2 linked regions of the Arabidopsis thaliana genome follow. The protein of the gene in region 2 interacts with the protein of the main gene of each other region in a pairwise test. Each region holds a gene or a part of one and is shown on either strand. Other genes may lie near its edges. The genes, in order: AT5G55690 and AT1G72350.

Evidence for each region.
Region 1: the proteins of AT1G72350 (region 2) and AT5G55690 interact in a two-hybrid assay, tested with the Arabidopsis thaliana proteins (one large-scale study listed by BioGRID).

What each region holds. Positions count from the first base shown.
Region 1 is NC_003076.8:22,547,941-22,552,024, reverse strand, and holds AT5G55690 (MADS-box transcription factor family protein), read left to right. Parts: upstream 1-1,930; 5' UTR 1,931-1,954; intron 1,955-2,379; exon of another isoform or gene 2,380-2,381; 5' UTR 2,382-2,401; coding exon 2,402-3,235; 3' UTR 3,236-3,318; downstream 3,319-4,084. Other genes in the region: BAM4 (beta-amylase 4), read right to left, coding at 1-152; AT5G55680 (glycine-rich protein), read left to right, coding at 3,664-4,084.
Region 2 is NC_003070.9:27,238,463-27,241,780, forward strand, and holds AT1G72350 (MADS-box transcription factor family protein), read right to left. Parts: upstream 1,486-3,318; coding exon 811-1,485; downstream 1-810. Other genes in the region: AT1G72340 (NagB/RpiA/CoA transferase-like superfamily protein), read left to right, coding at 1-20.

The sequences.
Region 1 (4,084 bases), on a different chromosome or scaffold from region 2:
GGAGGAATCATAGAAACGCTTCGGAAAAAGTTACGATTACGCTTTGTACTCTGCTCGAGGAAACAAGATTTCAAAGAAAATCCTCCGGGATGGAAGAAATTGCCGCCGGTGACTCCGCGACAGCCACATCCGATTACTCCAGTCTCCGTCATTTTCGTTTCTTCTCCTTCGTCGGAGATATTTCTCAGATGGTTTTAGATGCGGAGGAAAAGAGACGGAGATGGAGTACTTGAAACGCAAAATTCTATTTCTCTTTTTCTTTTCTTTTTAACGACCCAAAATTTATTTGGGGCTTTTCTGATATATATACTGAATTTTTAAATCAAGAAAATTATCAACTTTATAATTCCTTCTTGACCCTATACTTTTTCCTTTATTGCCTTTATTTTCTATTTTTTGCCCGTATGTTTTAAATATTTCTATAATTGACCCCAACTTTCGTTCTCTACTATATACCTCGTGCCTACAATATTTAATTATTTATAGGAGTATAGGTGTTTTTATGAAACAAATCAGTGAAATTATCAAAACTAATTAACGTTTTACTTGTTGAAGTTCAGGAGATGATTGAGATTACATTTATTTTATTATAAAAATCAGAGTTGATTTTTTCAAACTGGTGTTTAATGTGTAACATGGAAACAAGTTTAAATTTCTATTATGACTGACTTATAATTGAATAATAAAACTATGAGGACTTGAATAGCATATAGTCAAACTAATTGTACTTTTAGATGGTAATTTTTTTATATGATATTAAATATCCATTGAATAAGGTTTTTTAACAAAGAAAATGGAATTAACCATTTTGCTGACGTGGAAACATATCGTCCCTTAGTGGATAAGCATGTAAAATATCCCATTAGAACATATCCCATGCTACTCGCCACCATCAACACTGCCTATTACCAATTATAGTAGTGAATTTGGCATATAAATAGTATACGAAAAATGTCTCACATATTTAAGTTAACCTATTATTTCCGTCTTCATTGTCATATAGTTTGATCAAATTAAATCATGGGTCCACGATATGTCACGTTTCAGTCTCGTAGTACTACTCATCAAGTGGCAAAACTTTGTTTATCACATATAGCTGATATTTATTCGAATGTGAAAGATAATAAAGGATAAAAAAACAAAATTTCAAAATACGCACTAAGTAATAATTGCATGGGACATTTTACAAGTTCTAGTCATTTTTTAGTTACATACCAGTGCGTATGAGCATATGGTGATTGGTGAAATTGTTAAATGTATATTTCAAAGGCTATGAATTACCGATCAATCGATCAACACCAACAGCTACTAGTAGTTTAAAATTTTATGAAACAAATTTATTATTTGTCGATGTCTCCTAGTATTATATTAAAATGAACTATCGAGTATCAGTACAAATAGTCATCACAGAAGTGTGACAAACTTACGACAACAAACTTTAATCTTTTTTCTAATTTCTATACAACCAAACTACCAAAGTGGCCATGAAGACCAATAAGAACATTGTTGCAACTTGCAAACGGAACCTCAGCCACCTCCGGCGCCAAATTTCCGTAAGAATATTAACAAAGTTTTCAATTAAAGCAAAAAAGGAATATTTGAGAAAATTAATTGGCACAAATCACAAACAAAATCTTCTTTCTTGATCATGCTGTAATTACAATGTTTTCCTTTAACTGAACTCTTATCACTTGTGCGTGAACATAGAAACTAAAGATTTGTATAGCTTCGTCCTCTTTAATTCTACTCGAAAACATGGAAAGAAATAAAATATCAGCATTGCTACCGTAATTTAGGGGAGGAAACAATATTCGAGAATAAACCATATATTCTTTACGACAAAAAAAAAAAAAAAAAACATATATTCTTTTTTTGCGTGTGTCTTATATAAACACAGAAAGAGGAACTCCATTGTTAAATCAAGAAACTTCAGAAAGTAGAGCTCTTAAAGAAGGTATTATATACATTCTTTTTTTCTTCTAGTAATCACTCTGCATTTACTTTATGTTAATATCCCATCTGTTTTACTATTCGTGTTAATCGTATATGGATTTGGAATTATGCATAGGAAGCTTGACAAAACGATAAGGATTATGCTTATTAGTGAAAAAATTGAGAATAAAATAATATGAATCTTTCTTCCCTATACATTTGTAAGGCTTACATTGCTATGAAATGTTAAAATGTAAACCTAAAAGCTATATGAGTTACAAATTTTTTATTGACAACAAAATGTTTACTAGTATTAGTGCTTTGGTTGTAAATTTGTAGTGTTTCTGTATGTTTTGGTAGCTGATCGTTACATCCAAATGATGATATTACTATTTCAATTTTCAAGATTATGATCTATTGTTGTGTTTTACTCTTTTATGGCTTTTTAGATTGAAGCAAAGGTATCTGGATGGGTCGAAAGATGGTAAAGATGACGAGGATAACGAACGAGAAAACGAGGATAACGACTTACAAGAAGAGGAAAGCATGTTTGTATAAGAAAGCCAGTGAGTTCTCAACACTCTGCGGTGTGGACACTTGTGTCATTGTGTACGGCCCGAGCAGAGCAGGGGACGAAATGGTCATGGAGCCCGAGTTATGGCCAAAGGATGGGAGCAAAGTCCGTGAAATCTTAACCAAGTACAGAGACACTGCGTCAAGCAGCTGCACCAAGACATACACCGTGCAAGAATGCTTGGAGAAAAACAACACTAAGGTGGAGAAACCGACGATTGCGACAAAGTATCCTACATGGGACAAAAAGCTCGACCAGTGTTCTTTAAATGACCTCTATGCGGTTTTCATGGCAGTAGAAAACAAGATCCAAGAGGCTACGAATAGGAATCAGACATTTCCTGACACTAGTTGTTGGTCTAATGACCAACTTGGTTTATGCGGTTACAATCGGCAATGTTTTGAGCAGTATCAGTTGTTTCCTCTGCCTACTATGGATTACAACGGGCTCTCTTTCTTCCCTTTTAATAACCAGATGACCTCAAATACTGCGGAAGTGTCTTCCTTCTCGAATGTGACAGAGCCGATGATAGCGAACGGGCAAAGCTTGTTTTACGGGAGTTGTTCGGATGGTCCATATGGTCCGATGGTACAGAGGACAGCTTATATGGAGCCAATACATTGGGGTTTAGGAAACAGTATGTTCAACAATGTGAAGCAGTTCCAAGATTATCCCTTCAGGTTTGCACAAGTTAATGATTTGGAGGATTCAAGTAAACTTTCTATGTGAGAAATGTCATTTGTTTCTTCCGTTTGAATGTTGCTTTATAAACTTCTTTTTATCAAGTTTCTATTAAGTTTGTTGATTTTTTTCATAGCTATATCATGGAATAAGAAAATGGTGTTTTTACGAAAACATATTGTACTAACAAATATAATCTACCAACATTAATATACTATAAAGTAATCAATACAAAACAAGTAAGTATCTTGTTCATTAGAATTACAAGATATACTGAAGAGTCTTCTTATAGTCTGACAAAAAGCTAGTTAGCTGGAAGAACCAAAGTGGCTACTAAGATCAAAAATATGCATAGGAGATCATGTTGAACGAATTTAGAAGCCGACTTGGCTCCGGCGGGAACCTCAGCAGTCTCTGGAGCCAGATTCGCCGTCGCTGGTGCAGAACTACTCACCGGACCTCGTCCGTAAGGAAATATGTCCGGCGTATTCGCTGGAGTTGATGGAATATCAGGGGTTGTTACTGGCGATGTTGCTGCGATATATGGAGCATCGGCGGAGACTGGTGGTTGGTTTGATGGGGTGGTGGCAGGCGATTCTATTGAGGTGGTGGGACTTATCATTGGAGCAGAGATTGGAGACTTCCCTGGAATTGTAGTGGGAGGGGATACAGGGGAAGTTGCAGGCGTAGAGACAGGAGTCGTGGATGTAGTCGGAGAGGAAACAGGGGAAGTCACCGGAGATGAAACAGGGGATTTCAGAGGAGACGCAATGGTACGAGATGTAACAGGGGAAGTCGCCGGAGACGAAACAGGGGATTTCAATGGAGAAGCAATGGTTCGAGAGGAAACAGGGGAATTCGTCGGAGTAAAAACAGGTGATTTCGATGGAGATGCAG
Region 2 (3,318 bases):
TTATTCAACTCTATCTCTAATTTCAACTCCTAATTAATAACTAACTATTTATACTACTTTTGCTTCAGAAGTGAAAACTTCCAATTTTGAGCCTTTTAAGATCTTCAAAGTTCATGTTTTTATCTTAAATATTGAGGTAGTTTTTCTGCTTCGTCTTCCGATTTAGATCAGTTTCCGCCAGTTGGCCCAGTTCTCCGGTAACCAGTTTCCGATCCTGGTATCAACACCGTTAACTTTAAACAATCTTATCTATTGAAGTAGCCATTTATTACTCTTTTGCCTAGAGACTATAAACATGTACAACATACCTAATCCTCAGTCCTCGTGGTTCCAATTTTTGTGACATGATTTGATTTCGAATTGTGTGTGGAATATAGTTCTAATAAGAACCTCTAAAGGATCAACATCACCATGACCAGATTCCGATCCTCAAGCCCTCATTATTACGACCATTGACAATTCGTAGACAAGCTAACCTCCTCAAGTGTAGCCAATGGTTGGGGAAAATATTACATCATTTTTATATAAAAAGAAACTGTTGGAGAAAATATCCTAACAGTTTCAAGAAAATAAACAAGAAAGACAAAAACACAAGCTCATAAAATAAAACCAGTATTATTAATAAGCTAACTCCACAGTTAAGAAAAGGGAAATATGAATTTCAATTTCGGAATACAATTTTTTTTTTTCAATCTTAAACTTGAAAGCATTAGTTAATTTAGGTAAACGAATTAAAAAAATAGTTTAGATCAACCTATAATCTATATGTAATAACACCAAACTGTAATAATAAATTAAAGAAAAAACACCTCACTGTCTACCGTTTTGAGGCATAAACGCAAACTCCAAATCACCATTGTTACCTCCATAACCTCGATCGTTCCTAGCCATCAGATTTTCATTCGTTAATTTCCAGTCAGCCATAGCCATCTCATTTGGAAATGCCGGAAGATTCTCAACCGTCCGATCACCACTCATCTGGTAGATCCTCGTCAACAAATTCTCCCTTAACACACTCAAGGCATTCTTGTACTCTTCCATATGCTCCTCCGGCACACTCTCCACCGCTCTCTCCCACCACATCAAACCGTCGTTATCTTCCTCTCCGTTTGCCACGTTACCACCGGGATGTGACCTCAGCATCACCGGAGCCTTACGCAAGTATTTATCGATGAGTGAGTTCACGTTACCAAACGAGTAGATCCTATCGCAACGTGAAAACGTTATGATACCAATCTGTGCGCCGCAGAGAACGCTTAATTCTGCCGCTTTTTTGAAAAGCCCGGATCGTCGTTTGGAAAACGTCACTTGCCTTCGGGTCTCCAGCATGATCTCCTTGATCTCTATCTTCTGTCGACCTTTGGTGGTTTTAGGTTTTTTTTGTTTAGTCTCTTTTTTTGGTTTGGCCAGCAAGTTAGGGTTTTGTAGGGGTTTTGGTTCCGTGGTTGGTAAGAAAGTGATTGTTGAAGCTTCCCCATCCTCCATATTGAAGACAAGAAGAACAAGAGATTTTTGTGAGAGATTACAAGGGTTCTTTGGGAGAAATATTCCGAATTATATTTATATTCATAGTTTTGAACCATATAAGGAATTATTGTCTCATCATAATATATGCTAATTGTGGTATTAAATGCGCGTCTCAATAAGTTAACATGATATTTGGAATGATTCCATAAACAATCAACATTAACTTTTTTTAATCTAAGTTTCGTGACATTATTTCAAAGATTTACGAGATATACTTACTCCTTTCTTTTCTTTTTGGACAAACAAGATGCTTACTCCTCTCTATTTTACATTTTTGTTATATATAAAATATAAAAAAAAACTAATGATGATGCTAATATATGTGGGTCTCATATACGAATAATATATGATCAAATCAAATATATATATATGCATATGAGCATATGGATGTTAATGTTATTGTCAAAGAAAACACTGGCCTTAGTATAGTTGAAATTACAAAGTATAGTTGCCACATGAAAGGTTCCTCGTGGCCATTGCGAATATTTAATTCCTTTAAAATTATTTTATTCTTTTCCATTTAATATATCAATTAGTCTTTAATTAATTAACCACTCCACAAAGGTTCAAAGTAAGGTTGATAGATTAGTTTAGATTTGAAAAATGGTTAGTGGAGAAAACCACGGGTTCATTAGTCAGTATTAGAGACTGCTTATGGTTTCAAATTAAAAGCTATACCCCTAAAGGTAGGATAACAACTACTATTACAAATTAATTAATTTTTGTTAAATCTATATATACATTTTTGCAGCCATTTTGTTAAATAAATCCTGTAGTTGAGATTTATTTACAATGGTTGTCACTGGATTTTAATGTTTGTTTTTGATAATTAAAAAGAAAATCTTCGAATTAAATATTTGACATTTAACAATCTTCCCAAAATCTCTCCACATTAACTACACGATTATTTACTAAAATAATACTTCTAAAATATTTAATATCATTTAATTACTACAAAATTATCATTTTTGATATTGCTTTTCTCCATGACTATAACAATTCGATTATAATCATCAAAGCGCAGAGATATAATCTGATAGCATTTAATTACTACAAAATTACAAAATATTTAGACAATGATTCATAAACATATCATAAATAAGATCAACATTAATAAAATAAATGGGTTTATTTTTACAGGACGGGTTTGGAAGGACGTTACTTAATAACATTTGTAAACTATAAAATAAAATTATTTTATAGATAAATACAATTTATAAACTTTTATATATACTAACTTTAAAAAATAAATTATTCCCGCGATATACCGCGGGTTAAAATCTAGTGTATATATCAAGTTGTAGCAAAACCAGCTGTTGGTATAGTTTTTTCATTAAAGTTGTTCCATAAAGGTTTTAACTAATCACCGTGACGACTAAACACATTGGTTAAAAGTTAAAACCCATGTCGATTTATTGACTCTTGAAAGGTGAATAAGCCAACCATTACTATAGGTATAGGTTTTTATTTTTATTTATCTTATGCCAAAAATCCAAAACGACTAGTATGACGCAGTAAACTGGGTAGATATAAGAATCATGGTCATTAAAACTCAAATATACGATTCACTTAATGTAAGATATGATTAAAGATAAGAATGGATTAACCCCCAAGTAAAGCGATAAGATCGAATATATTAAGTTCATAAACTCAGCTAAATGCAGATCATTACAGACAGTGGCGAAATCATTTAAAAAGGGATTAACCTATGATGAGGATAAAATGGTAAAATTAACAAAGCCCACTTGGCCCAATTGTCGTTCCGAAGAACACGCCTTGTCGCTCTGCGTA